2 linked regions of the Diceros bicornis minor genome follow. The protein of the gene in region 1 purifies or fractionates together with the protein of each later gene. This does not show direct contact. Links are inferred from orthologs where the notes say so. Each region holds a gene or a part of one and is shown in the gene's direction. Other genes may lie near its edges.

Evidence for each region. The genes of interacting proteins can lie anywhere in the genome.
Region 2: the proteins of VAPB (region 1) and AFTPH purify together in Homo sapiens (affinity purification with mass spectrometry; 3 studies listed by BioGRID and IntAct, counting the BioPlex papers as one, with this or other methods). This does not show direct contact. The link is inferred for Diceros bicornis minor from reciprocal best matches to the Homo sapiens genes VAPB and AFTPH.

Annotation. Positions count from the first base shown.
Region 1 is NC_080758.1:5,266,733-5,274,053, reverse strand, and holds the start of VAPB (vesicle-associated membrane protein-associated protein B/C), read left to right. Parts: upstream 1-4,318; 5' UTR 4,319-4,465; coding exon 4,466-4,523; intron 4,524-7,321. UniProt on the Homo sapiens protein: Endoplasmic reticulum (ER)-anchored protein that mediates the formation of contact sites between the ER and endosomes via interaction with FFAT motif-containing proteins such as STARD3 or WDR44.
Region 2 is NC_080751.1:23,171,834-23,179,732, reverse strand, and holds the start of AFTPH (aftiphilin), read left to right. Parts: upstream 1-4,890; 5' UTR 4,891-5,138; intron 5,139-7,899. UniProt on the Homo sapiens protein: Component of clathrin-coated vesicles.

The DNA of each region.
Region 1 (7,321 bases):
CTCACACCAGCCTGCCAGTGCCAATGGTGCACGTCTCTTTTCAACTCTGTGTCCAGTGACATCCCACAGGTCACTTAAAATCAGTCATGGAGGGAGTGTTGGCACCACAGAAATCTGCAAAAACTACAAATCAGAGTTATTTTTACCCCAGAGAGCCAGTTTAGCATACACCACGGGTTACAAGTAATCTACAAGTAATATATAATAAGCATGCCACTTGCTAATTACACTCTCACCTGCATTTGATGTGACATAGCGCCTGAGAAGCAAGGGCCTTGGAGAGCCACGCGGCTGCTACACTTACGTGGTAGTGACAACAGGACTGTGGGGTAGGGGAGCTGGGTCTGAGTTCACCGGAGCTATTACGGAAAGAAAATGACACGCTCTTTAATCTCTCAGTTTAAGTCACAGTCAGAAAACCAGAGAGATTCTATGGAGCCCTACAATAATCCTTTATTTCTTATAGCTGTAGGTTTTTGACCTTGCTGAAAATCATACCCAAAATTTAATTGGGCAGGTTGCAGAATTACAACATAAATGGAATTCAGAGATTTGCCAGAATCTCAAGCAGTACATTGGATGTCTACCTTGTCTGGCTGAGAGATGGTCAGAAGCACAGGTGTACGCTGACTCGTGGGCAGTGGGTGGCAGGAACAGACACAGCAGAACTGGATTTGGCGAGAAGGAGGTGTGGGGAGGAGGTATGTGGAGCCTCTCAGGATGGCACAGTGTGAAGACACTGGTGTCCTGTGTCGATGCCCACCCAAGGGCATCCACTGCAGCAGTGACTCTGAGAATCAAGTGGACAAGGTGACACATTCTCTGGATGTCAGTCTTTATTCCCAGCTGTGTCATTGTTTGCTCTTTGGGTTTATTTACAAAGTGGCCATCGCGGCAGGTGTGAAGGTTCGACATGGGCCCAAGAACACGGACTTCCCCTCATCAAGCTGACCTGGTCACTGCCACTGCTAAGTGCCTAAAGTGACAACAGTGGAGACCAACACTAAAACCCTAATATGGCCCCATTCCCTGGATGGAGGATGGGCCTGAAACCAATGTTAGAAACCTGCCAGTGCGACCACTCAGGTATGCAAAAGAACCAAACAGAACTTATAGACTTAAAAAAAATAACTGAAATGAAAAACTCCTAAAACAGGTTTATCAGCAGCCTAAGGGACAATTAGTGACTGGAAGAGAGGTTTGAAGAAATATCCAGAATATAGGACATAAACACCAGAGGTTAAGCTGTGACAGAGAAGTAAAGAAATATGGAGAATATTAAGAGAGAGTCTTTGTTTTACAGACTTCTCTATCTCCCTGTTTCTTTCTTTCTTTACCACAGCCCACAGTAATCAATGCATTTGTGACTCACTACATAGATATACCTATAGGTATGTTGATAAATATAACTGAAACAAAAGTTTCATGAAATAATACAATACACTGTGATATTTTCTATTCATTTTCTTTTTCAGTGCTGGTAACAACCCATTAAATTGACTTGATAAGTCACTCTTGAGAAACAATGTACAGTTTGAAAAACATTGGTTGAATAAACTACTAGTCAGACTTCCAGAAGAAAAGAGTGAGAGGATAAGGCTCAGGTAACATTTAAAAGAGATATCGTCACACATGCTCCAACGTGGATGAACCTTGAAAACATTATGCTCAGTGAAATAAGTCAGATACAAAAGGACAAATACTGTATGATTCTACTTATATGAGGTCCCTAGAACAGTCAGATTCATGGAGACAGAAAGTAGCATGGCGGTTACCAGGGTCTGGCGGGTAGGGGAGTGGGGAGTTAGTGTTTATTGGGTACAGAGTTTCAGTTTTGCAAGATAAAGAGTTCTGGAGATGGATGGCGGTGATGGTTGCACAACAATGTGAATGTATTCAATATCACTGAACTGTCCAATTAAAATGATTAAGATAGTAAATTATATGTTATGTGTATTTTACCACGATTTAAAAAATTTTTTTTAATGTTGTCTAAGGATTTTCCAGAATGATGAAAGATACCAATCAACAAATTCAGAAACCCCCGAGAATTCAGGTAGGATGAATGCTGTACACTGAATGTTTGTATCTTCCCCAAAATTCACATGTCGAGACCGGCTCCACCCTAATGAATGCGATTCATGCCCTTGTCACAGAGACCCCAGAGAGCAAGGGAACGCTAACTATGAACCAGGAAGCAGACTCTTGACAGACGTGAAATCTTCCCAGCCTCCAGAACTGTGAGAAATAAATGTCTGTTGTTATTTAAGCCACCCAGCCTATGGTATTTTGTTATAGCAGCCTGAACAGACTAAGATAATAAATAAAAAGATACATCGTGGTAAAACTCAGAACCTCAGAACAGGGGGAAAAACAGATTCTCTTGGAAGGAATGATGAAGAGATTGTTGTCAGAAACCTCAACAGTAACAACGGGAGCGGGAAGCAGGTGGGTGGTAACTGTCACTCTGGAAAACCCGCCAAAATATCTTTCAAGAACAAGGGCAAAATAAAGTGATTTTCAGATGAACAAAAAGCAAGAGAGTTTGCCCCAACAAACCCTCATCAAAATAGGATTTAAAGGATGTACAGGATGGGCCGGCCCCATGGCTTAGCGGTTAAGTGCACGCGCTCCGCTGCTGGCGGGCCGTTTCAGATCCTGGGCGCGCACCGACGCACTGCTTCTCCGGCCTCAGCGTCCCACATACAGCAACTAGAAGGACATGCAGCTATGACATACAACTATCTACTGGGGCTTTGGGGGAAAAAAATAAATAAATAACATTATAAAAAAATAAAACAAAGGATGTACAGTCACAAGGAAAGTGATCCTAGTTGTAAGTTTGAGATGCAAGAAGATGCGCAAAGAAATCAGTAACTGTGTGGTTGAGTGTAAACTAACATCAACTGCATAAAACAAGCTAGTAATGACTCATGGGGTGAAAAGGGAAAGATTAAATTTAGAACACACTACAATTAAGGCATATAATTTAGGGGATGAGTGACTAAAGTATCCAAAGGTACTTATATTTTAAGGGAGCAAGGTAAAGATATTTAAAAGATTGGACTTTCATAAGATAAGTACTCATGCCAAATTTCTAGGGTAATCACTAAAACAACAGAAATAGATGGTGTAAGAGGAAGAAAAATGGAATGAGAAAAAAAATCAGCACTAAAGAAGCAAGAAAGGAGAGGAAAAAGAAAAAACAGGCAGGACAAATAGAAAGCACAAAATAATATGGTAGAAATAAATCCAGATACAGTGTTTATCAGTAAATATAATAAGCGTAAATGGACCAAATGCTCTAGTTAAAAGACAAAGATTATCTTGAAAAAAACCTTTTTTATTATGAAAAATTTCAAGTACGCAGAAAAGTGGGAAGAATAGTACAAAGGATGCCCATGTAGAGTCAGCATTGTTAACTATTTGCTGTGTTTGTTTCATCTATATATATGTAAAGAAGACTGTTAAGAACACATATTTTATGTAGTAAACATATACTGAAATAAAATTTAAACGGCAACAGTGATGTAGTGTTCACTTTTGAGGCCAAGTAGATCTGGGTTCCCAGCAATTTTTAATCGCCTAATTTATTTGTGGGGTTATTTATTCCAAGGTTGTCTCTCCAACAGAATCTAGCGAGAGAGTAGGAACCAGGTCAACTTTTCTGCTTATTGTATTTCTAAATATTTGTTGCATCTACTTGTTATATAGTAAACATGTAATGCAGAGTAGCTCTTATTTATCACAGTTGCCACTGTTGTTATTGAAAGCGTTCAGCAGAGCGGCACAAAACAAGCAAGCAATAATCGGTAGCTTACTGTTTATATTTATTGTTTCCCATACATCACAGTGCCCGGCACACATCATTCACCCACCAACATTATGTTCATAGTGAGAATAAATAGTACTTTCATTATTATTCAAAGTCTCTAACAGTGCCTGGCACTACATAAGGAAAGAAAAGTGCAGTCTACTCTTCTCATTGCTACTGAGTAAAGCATTTCACACCACGGCCGTCCCCCTTAGGCCCAGAATAAGCAATCTTCGCGGTGATTTCTGGGCGTGCCGGACCCGCCCCGCCCCCGGAGCTTGCGACGCCCCGCCCCCTGCCGCCCGGCAGCCCCGCCCCCGCGGCCAGTGCCGCGCCTGCGCACTGCGCTCGGAGGGGCGACGCGCGCGCAGGGCCGAGTCGGCCGGCCTGCTGCGTGCGTGCGTGCGTCGCTGCGTGCGTGCCGTGCGTGCCGTGCGCTCGCCGGGCACCGCGGCCTCGCCTTCGCCCTCCGCCCCGGCGCCTGCACCGCGTAGGCCACCCCCCCCCCCCCCGCGCGCACCCGTCGGCGACCCCCGCCTGCGCCCCGGCCGGCCCCCCCCTCGAAATTTAAAGGGGGCGCAGCCTTCGCGCCGCCCGCCGCAGGTGACCTCCCGGGGGTCTCCCGCCAGAGGTGCCCCGCCGCCGAGGAACATGGCGAAGGTGGAGCAGGTCCTGAGCCTCGAGCCGCAGCACGAGCTCAAATTCCGAGGTAAGCCGCAGGCCCGCCATCTTCGGCCGCGGCCGGGCCGCCGCCCCGCGCCCCCGCCCGCGCTCCGGGGACCGGCCGCGCGGTGACGTCGGCCCCCGCCCGCCCCGACGGCGCGCCCGCCCGCCCCGGGCCGCGGAGCGCTGCTGGGCCCGAGCCCGGCGCGGGCCCGCCCTCCTGCCCGCCTCGCCCTCGAGACACTCGGCGCCTCGGCCGTGCTGACCGCGGCCGTCCAGGCTGCGGTTTTCCGCGCCTGAGTGGAAGCGTGGGCGCCCCCTTTGCCTGGAAGCTTCTTCCCTGCTCTCCACGAGGTGACCTTTTCCTGTCTTGGGTCAGATGTCACCTCCTCGGAGAGGCCTGCCCTGACCAGCCACCCACCCTGGACGCCTGCGTCCATCCCCTGTCACGTCGCCGGGCGGTGGCCAGCACGGCGCTCCCTTGCCTCTGCCACGTGTGCACTGTTTCTGCGCTAGAAGGGAAACTCCATGAGGGCAGGACCCCGTCCTTTCTCTGCTGCCTGCCCAGCACGTGTTCCGGGCCGAGTTTCTGTTGAACAGATGAAGGAAAGGAGCCTCCGCTGGAGTTGTGATGGGACGTGGCCCGACTGCCTTCTGCCTTCCTCATGCCCCTCGCTCACGTCTGTGCCGCTGGGGGCGCTGCCAGGGTCGGGAGATGCCTTTTCTCCCCAGAGCAACCTGGACCTGGAGCCAGAGGAAGCCTAGTGCACCACTGTGTTGGTGGCAAGCCAGGGCCCTTTGTAATGTGTACCTTCATGTTTCTTATGGGTTTTTTCTTCCCTGTCTTCCCCCCCACAATATAAGCTCATGAGACAATAGGGACGTCGTCTGACTTGATTCCTTCTTTTCAGATGTGTTGAGTAACTGCGTAGTAGTCATGTGCTTGGCACTGGAGAGACAAGGAATGAACCAGAGAGACGAGTCCCCTGCTCTCATGGCGCTTACCTTCTAACAGGGGAAAGAAACCAGCAAACAACAATATTTCAGATGGTGGTCAGTGCCGAACAGGAAAGAAAACAGGCTGATGTGATGCCATTAGACCCGAGGTTGTGTGGCCAGCACTGGGCCCACAGTAGGTGCTCAGCAGATATTGGTGGAATGAATGCTGGCTACAAGTAACCCGGTTTAGGTGTACTGTCAGGACGTGATATCGGGTAACTTACCCAGAGTTGCCCAGTTGGCAGATGGCACATTTGAGCTCAGACTTCAGAGCTAACCCTCTTAACAATTATGTTTTCTGACCCCTGGGAAATACTCCAGAACTGTGGCTGTCCAGAGCTTTGCCTCCCAGGTTAACAATCTGAAATGACCCCAGATGCGTAAAGAACCAAAGGTTCTCCAGTTAAAATAAAGCAAAAACAGAAAAGCATCATAAAAGCCTGGTGTGAATTATAATTCCATGACAGTCCTTGAGCTTGCGTGATGTTCTCGTGCCCTCATGGAGGAGGCAGGCTGGCAAGGGAGTCCAAGGAGCTAAAGGGAATGTGGAGGGTGATGGTTTCCACTTGAGTCGTCTGAAGTTCTTTACCCCAGGAGCCTGGCGTGGCTACTCCTGGGATTGGATTGGCACAGTCATTCTTTTAGGCCACAGGCATTTACTGAGTGCGTGCTGCATGTGTCGGGTACCAGGAGCAGATGAGTCACGTCCTATGTATGCCCCCATTCTCCCTCAACCCCCTACCCCAGAACTTAAGTCTAGGGAAGGAGGCAGATGACAGAATCAGCGAGGGCGGCGCAATGATATAAGGTGATCCAGAGTGCTCCGAGAGCACTAAGGAGGTCAGCTCTTGAAAGAGGTGTCATTTGAGCTGAGTTTAAAGGTCGAATGGAAGCAGGCTAAAAGAAGAAATGAGTGGGGAGCATGACAGGCAGAGGAAATTGCACCTACAGAGGCACAAAGGCTGAGCTGACTGGGGTACTTTGAGATGCCGCTAGTAGTTCTGAATGACAGCTGCAAAGAGCCTTTCTTGGTTGCCAGGCAAAGTAGGAGATGAGGCTGGCCAGTAGACAGGAGTCAGATCTTCTAAGGCCTTCTTCTGTGAACAGACGCAGCCAGTGTCCAAGTGCAAGTTGTGTTGCTTCTCCTCAGCTAGTCCTTCCTTGATTGATCCCCTGCAACCTCAACCCCCCACCCCCAGTATACACACTCTTCTCTAATGTGATATTATGGAAAGAGGCACCAATTTGAGAAATTGAAGTTTTTGTTCCAGATCTTTCGCTTAAAGATGTTTGACCACTTCACTCTCCAAAGCCTGGGATCACTCATCAGTCCGTGGGGATGGCACTCATCTGCCTGGCCTCCTTGCCTTGTAGAAGGTTTTGTTACTGCTTGGAAGGTGTAATATTGTGTCTGTTCAGCTGCTTTGTAAATGCACACGGTTACACAGAGATTGGTGGTTGTATTTAGATAACTGATTTCATCAGTTCGACTTCTTTACCTGAAAGGTGCGGAAGAGAAGAGTGATCTGCCTGGGTTGGCCAGTGTAATGATGGGCGAAGTCACTGGATATTTTTGCTAGGGAAGTGGTCCAAGAGAAGTCATGGTGTCAAATTGTTGAAGGCTGTTGGCTCATGACTTCAAAAGAGGCATATTCAGGCATGTGTAAACCACTTTATGAGATTTGTTTTAAACTGAGCACTAAGACAATGAAATTAGAATGGAGGCTCAATACCCTGGCTTGCTGTATAGAGATCATTCATTTCAGGATCCGAACTGGCATATTTAACTGGTCTCTTCCAAGTTGCTCAGGGTGGTGACTCTGACTTGGAGTGGTTCACTTAGAT
Region 2 (7,899 bases), on another chromosome or scaffold:
TACAATAAACTTGACAAGCAAGTCCAAGAAAGGCCAGTGGGAATGATTCAGAAACAAAATCTCTGTTGCTCATCACACTTTCACCAAGTGTAAAATGGTGAAATCCCCACCAAACCAAAAACAAAAACATTAGCAACAAAAAAAGTTTGATTGTATTCCTACTATAGAACAAGTTTCTTTTTATACTTTTATTCCACATGATTAATGTAATTTATATCTAACATGAATGTTTATTTTCAGCACATCTTGTATTATGGCCACAGCCAGCTGAGGATATAGAAAACAAGTTCATCTGGGTTCCCAAATAGTTTGGTTTCTTACATGCTTTGGGGGAAAGAGAAGATTGTAACAAACAAGAAATAACGTGGAGTAAAAATGGAGGTTACTCTGGATTAGAAACATGAAACCTGGCTTCTAGTACCTACCTAGTTCTCTACAAACCAACGGGATGACTGAGGATGTCATTGTCATTTAACCTCTTATAACATTATTAATCTACTGTAAAGTTGGAGGGGGAGGTGGGGAAGAGACTGCTTTTGGACCAGATGATTTCTCAAGTTGCTGAAAATTTTTCAGCAGATTTATCAATGGCTCAAATTCTACATATACAATACTTTATAGTGAAGGTTTGTTCCATTTATTAACCACACTCTTTGTGAGAAGGAAAAAAAGCTCCATTAGAAAATAATTCAAACATGAAGAAAACGAGCAAAGTGTATTAAATGATAAAATGAAGGCAATTGTCTTTACCTATGAGGAAAAGGGGGACTACAATATTACTCTTCTACAAAGTTAGAAGGCCAAATGATACAGGGGGAAAGAATTGTGAATCAGGAGATTGTGGTTCCAGTCCTAAGTCCATCTCTAACTTTTTAATCTTGTACAAATCCCAAAATCTGTGATCACATCTTCTGTAAAATGGTATTAATCGGCTCTACGGGGGTCTGTGTGAGAATCAGAAGAGATAATATACTTAAAAGCATTTTGAAAAGTTGTGCAAATCTAAGATATTAGCATTAGCATCAGGAATTATCTCTAGGATGCTGTTCATATTTCACGGTTTTAAACTAACTGGTTCTGGAAAAGTTATTTTTTAACCATGAAAAAAATGAATACAGAACATGTCAGAGAATTATATAACAAACACCTATGTACCCTTCACCTAGAATTAAATGTAAATGGTTTGATCAAATCATCAAGTTGTACACCTTAAATATACACAATGTTTATTTGTCAATTATACCCTGATAAAGCTGGGAAAAAAGAAAAAAATGTAAATAGTTTGTCATATTTACTTCAGATTTTTTTAAAGATATAAAACATTGCAATTACAGATAAAGTCCTCTTTAGTGCTGTCTGACTCATTCCATACTAGCCCCTAATGAATTTTGTGTATATCATTCCAGTCCATATTTTTATACTTTACCATAAAAATGTATATCCATGAAGAACAAAGTATTGGTTTATTTTTAAAAGTTAAATACATTGTAAAATTCATATCATATTTTACTCATTCTGAAACTTCATTCACTTTTGTTTTTATAGTTTAACCATATTGATGCCTAGAGCTCTAGTTTAAGTGCTGAATACTAATCCATCTATGAATATATGACAATTTATTTATCCACTAAAAAGTATTATTTAGCCAGAAAGGTTTACTAGGTTATAAAATAAAAACATAGGAAAATGTTTAGATACAGAAAGAACCTTGGAGATCATCTGGTGCAGGGTTTCCTAAGCTATAGTTCGTAGACCCTCTTCCACGAATGAGCTTTAGGAGGTCTAAGAAATTTGAGTGTCTTTGGGATGAGCATTTTCTGCAGAGAGGGCCAAAGCTTTGACCATATTCTCCAAGAGATACACATACTAAATAGTTACTTGTCCTAAGAGAGTTGAGAACCTATGGTGTAGTTCCACTCTCTCATTTGACATATAAAAAGACTGAGGTCCAGAGAGGTTAAATAATTTATGCAAAATCATAGGGATAATAGGGCCTGTTTGTGGAACCAGGTCTATGTATATTGCTTTTCCAGAATACTACATTGCTGGGATTTTGTGCTTGCTTGTTTGTTGCTTTCTTAAACAATATAATATGAGTTAAGTTCATTTCAACTTTTAGTCGATAAAGTTCAATCCAAGTTTCTTTTAATTATTGTCCACTGCTGGCAAGGAGGTGGTAAAATTGGTACACCCCTATTTTACTGGTGGCATTGTAAATTGGTATGGTCTTTTGGAAAATAATTTGAGATGATGAAGTGCCAATGAAACATTCATAGCCTTCTGGCTCAATCATTTTTAAAGATTTTGTTTATTTATTTTTCTCCCCTTAAAGCCCCAGTAGATAGTTGTATGTCATAGCTGCACATCCTTCTAGTTGCGGTATGTGGGACGCGGCCTCAGCCTGGCCGGAGAAGCGGTGCGTCAGTGCACGCCCGGGATCCGAACCCGGGCCGCCAGCAGCGGAGCGTGCGCACTTAACCGCTAAGCCACAGGGCTGGCCCTCAATCATTTTTATATAGAGAAAAATTTCCTAATATTGGACAAAGCTACATGCACAAAATGTTCATCAAAGTGTTATTTGTAATAGTGGAAAATATCCACTAATAGGATAATGGATAAATCACAGTATGTCCATTCCATTGACTACTATGTAGGCAATTAAAATTAAGGTTTTATAAAATGTTAAGTGATAGAAGGAAATGGTTACAACATAATATTAAATGAAAAAAGGGATACAAAATCAACTTACATTATGATTACAACTTTGTAAAAAGTCTGCACAGAGAAAAAACTAGAAGTAAATACAACAGATTATAACTAGTCATTTATTTTTTTTCTTTTCTTGATGCAAAATCTTAGGTAATGTAGTGATGGTCATAATTTTTAAAAAGTAAACAAAAGCAATACTATCCTTGAATCCAAATGCAATAAATTTTAATAAGTATATTTCCCACAGATTCATCACCTTAAAAATATTCAAAGATAAAAACTTTCATTTGGTAATACAATTTTGTAGGCATTGGAATGTGGTCTTCAGAATTATGTGTGAAATTACCAATTACAAGTTGGTTGATTGCACTCACAAGTCATCTGGCCAAATAGCTACTCAATTTCCAGGCACAAAGTTGGATGCTGATTTCTGAATTGTTCTTAAGTGAATAGAATTGGCTTCTGCTTTTACCTGACAAAAATCACGTTATGTATGAAATCAGGAAGAAATTTTTCCAAAAGCAGGGTTCTTTTCAATGTTTTGATGTTTACATTCATTATTTCAGTTTAAACCTTTTCTTAGTGTAGGGTCTGCTTTAGGATTTTGACATGTGTTCTTACTCCGATATTTCTGTTTAGTAGAGCTATCAAATTAAAACAAGCATGTATTCATCTAAATTCAATTCATTTCCAGTTTCTCCGCACACACACACAAATATTTTTGTTTCTTTCCTTCCTGGTCAATAAACATTTACAGTGACATATATATATATTAAAGCTTGCACGCGGGCTAAACCAGCAGGGGGCGAAATACAATAAGAGTAAATTTGACAAGCCGTATAGATTTTTCCCGCTTTAGCGACCGAGCAATAACAAAAAATTCAGCACCACCACAAAGCAATAGGTACTCCAATTTAAAGTGATGCAGTCTCCGTATATCTTACAGCGATCGAGTTGTAAAGAGACTAATGCGGGTCTATTTTAGTGCTCCAAGTTAATTTGTCGAGACCATTGCAGAGGCGGGATAAACCGTGATGAACTGCTTTTGTCCTTATCTTTCCCCTGATTCGTTTAATTCCTCCACTCAAAGGGGTGGACACTTCTTTGTGGCTGAGGGGGTGTTTTTCATCCAGGTTTCTTTGCGTAGCTGCTGAGCTTTGCTGTTTGGGAACTATTTTAAAATATTCAAATTACCGGTGCGGGTTTGGTAAAAGTGAGCAGAAGCAGCACCCGTCAGGGCTCATGATTTATAGGGTAGGACTTATCATCCCGGATGATAACAATAATCCTTGTAGACTAATTTTTACAGTGGCCGGTGTTCTAACAGATATTCATGATAAAGGATGCGGAAAGCTTATAAAAACGCAAACGATCAACTGCTCAGGACTGATGATAGAAAAAGAATGTTAGGAACTCTTAGAGAAATGCAGAAGTTGACTTGATTTCTTTTCACTGGCTCTTCTCCCGCAGCATCTATGAAACACGACCACTGTCTCCATCCGTTAGCAAAATCCCCAATTACTATTATTTTTTAATTTTTTTGTTAGCCTCGAAGACGATTTGTCAGTTCGGCGGCTGTTTGCCCTCTTGCTTCCCATCTTAAGTTTGATTTATAATAACCTCTTCTTTGTTATTTGTTAAATATCAGTTTCCCCTTCTGTCAGCTTAAATTAAAAAGAGAAACGGACTTAAAAGACTGTGAATGAAAAAGTCCTTTTTCGGGGCGAAAAGGGCAAGCTGCTAACTGTTCTCCAGTAGGTTTTGGTGGAGAAGATATGGTTCTGTATTTCAAAACCTTTGCAATTTTATTTGGAGACCAAGGGACCTCTCGGTCCCAAGCTGAACGTTAACGTTAACCGACTGAGGAGCACCTGCCCTCGCAGGGAGCGCCGCCTCACCGGGCGACGAAGTGCCTAAGGACGTCTTTCCCTCCCACAGCTCCATGACTGGCAAGGAAGTAAAGGAAAAGGACAGCTTGCCCGCACCCAAAATGGCGGCCGGCGCTCTGCGCGACAGCGCCTGCGCAGGGGTAAGCGTTCTGTGACACTAATTCCCCTGGAGTGTCCTCCCCCCACCCCCCAGCACCCAGCAGCGCCCGGCCCCGACCTACCCACCTGCGCCCGGAAGTGACGTGTCGGCGGCAGCGGTCCCCCGCTGCATGATGGGAGAGTGTGTGGAGTGGGCGGGGGGTCTCCGCGGAGGAGGATGTGGAGGCGGCGGAAGAGGGCGGAGGGTAATGGAACGGGGGTCCCGCGGCAGCGCTGAAACTCCGGGTGGGCGTCCATGGTGCTGCTTCGCTGACAGGGCTGTGAGCAGCCTGCCTTCCGCTCTCACCAGCTCCGCGTCGGACTAGCCGGTCCTTCCCCGGGGAGCCAGTTCCTCCCCGGGCCCCTGAGCCATGCCCATCGCTGCCGCCCCGGACGAGCCAGGTGAGCGCCACCGCTCCGCTCCCCAAGCCGCGCCGGGGGAAGAGGGTACAGGGACCCGGCGCGGCCCACCGGCTGGACGCTCGCCCGGGCTGGGGGCACCTGCCAGCTGCGGAGAGGGGGCTTTGAGGACGGTGCCGGCTCTGCGGGCCTGCGGGCTGCGAGTTGGGCTCTGCCCTCTTCCGCGGCGGGTGCGGGGACGCCGGCGGCGGCGGCGCTCGGCCCCCTCCTCGCCATCCCGGGCACCGGCCGGGAAGTGTGAGCCGTTCCCACCTCCCCGGTCGCCGCCGGCTCGCCCTGCCCCTCCGCTTCCACCTGCCTACAGGTCCGCGCCGGCCGCTCCCTCCCGGGAGCTGTTGAGAAGTTTGGGGCTTTGCTCGGGCTTCCTGTTTCTTCCTCCTCCTCCCTCGTGACAGGTGTAAACACTGCCTGCTTCGCCCAGGCCCGAGGCCGGCCGCTATCGGAGTGTGCTGCTTCCGAGGGTCTCTGAAGCAAGCGGATTTTTAATGCTCCAGGCAGGCAGAGGAGACAGCCCGAAAGCTCATGCATCTCTTGCTGAGAGGACCTTTTCTGCTCCGTTCTTGCACTCCTCAAGAAATAATCTGCGTCTCCTCCCCAGATTGTCTTCGAAAAGTTGGACCATTATTCTTTAAGCGCCCAGTTTGGCAGGTCTGCGTCTTGCTTGGGCAGGGGACAGAGTATAGGGTGAACGGTGGTGGGTCCTTTCTCCATTATTAGGAAAGTACTGAGAATGGCTAGGTATTTCTCTTGTTGGTTAATACAAGTTATAGCTTGGTTTCCCACTGAATCTTCTATTGGGGTCGAGGAAAGGACTAACTCATACACGTAAATATTTTACTAGGGGCAGGAGGTGGGTGTAAATGAAACAAAAGCAGTGGTTTCGTTTCAAAGTTCTCACTTGAGGAGAAGAAAAGTAAAACTTTACTTTTGAACGTTAATCGTCCTTTTCACTGGCTACGTTCTCGTACTCAGAGTTTTTGTTTTTTTGGAGGGTGGGAGGGGGAGAGAGTTTAATCCTTGATGTTATGTTTAATTGTTGCTTTCAGTTAACCTTTTAGACGTAGAAATATATGCTAAACTCTAGGGGAAGCAAATGTTTCAACACTGTTGTGTTGATATAATTTGCATAGCTCATCTACATTTTATATGCTTTGCCGGCTTAAATGTTGGTTTTTGTAGTAGTCATTTTTAACTCTTTGCAGAAATATATGTGTTTAAACAAAATATCTATGGTAGTCTTCTAAATTTTGTCCATGAAGATATCTCACATGAATTAAAAGACAGATCCTGTGTAAAACATCAAGCCCGGTAAGTGGCACCTAGTAAATGCTCCTTAGATCGAATTCCTGTTTTATGTATCAATCAGATATATTAATTGATCGTCAGAGCGTAGATATATTTTTAAATCTTTAAAAAACTCTGGAAAGAAATTTACTAGAATTCACGTAATATGTAGGGCATTTAAGTTTTGATGTTTTCTGATCTTTTGACCTAGAGACTATTATAAAAATAACCCAATATTAAAACAAAGATAATGTGTGGATAATTGCATCGATAAATTTTGCAGAATCCAGTTGTCTTTATGAAAATCTTATGATGTAGATGAATCCTATTATAAAACATCATTTTAAATTTTGATTTGTTCTGCTTATATGTAAAAACTTGTTCAGAAAAGTAGTGAAATTTGAATATCAAGTAATGTTTTATTTTGTGTGGAATCTAAAATGCCTCTCTTAACAGTCTAAATAGTATGTCATTGAGGGATTACCCCTTCTCTCCCAGCCCTATCCCCCAGAGCTCATAAAAGGAGGCCATTAAGTATTTAGGTATTTTTAAACAGTCGAAAATTATTTAAGTCAAATGTTTATATTCTAATTTAATGTTACCTACAATTCGTAAGTTTAAAAATAGACTTTCCTCTATGCTTAGAACTTTCAGTTCCTCTTCAAGTAAGCTAGTGATCCTTTCCAGCCTGAACTTCATAAATATTTCTAGTTTTTCTGCAATTTTGAAAATATCTGGCATTTATATGAATTATATATATATATATATAACATTTTGGTAATTAATGTTTTCTCAATCAGTGTACACAAACAAACACATGTCCTTCTGCAGCTTTATATGATAATTACTAACAGTAATGTACACTACTTCCTGTGAGCAAGATACTGTTCTAAGTGGTTTATATACAGCATATTAACTCATTTAATCCTCACAACAACCCTATAAGCTAATAGTTGGTATTATCCCCATTTTTCCTAGGGAAAACTGAGGCACGGAGATATTAACATCAAACAGCCTAACATCAAACAGCTTGTGACAGAGCCAGAATATATGATAGTTTTATTTATCATACTTATATAATTTTAAAAACATGCCACACTATACAATATATTTTCTGGGAATCGTGGAATATGTAGCAAAAGTATAAAAACATGCATTGGAATGATAAACACCAAATCAGAGTAGAAGTTACCTCTGGAGAACTGGAGAGGGGTAAAGGATCTAGGAAGGCCCATGGTTTTTCAACCATAACTTTACTGTCTTTAAAATAAACATGAAGCAGATTTGGTAAAAGATTAAGATTTGACACAGCCAAGTGGTGGGTACTTGATCATTATATATTTTTTTTCTAAACTTTGTTGTATGCTTAAATCTTAATAAAAAGTTCAAGTTTTTCATTTAAAAACATATGTAAAGTATCACTCTGTGTTTCGCCATTGTATATTTAAAAAGAGGTCAG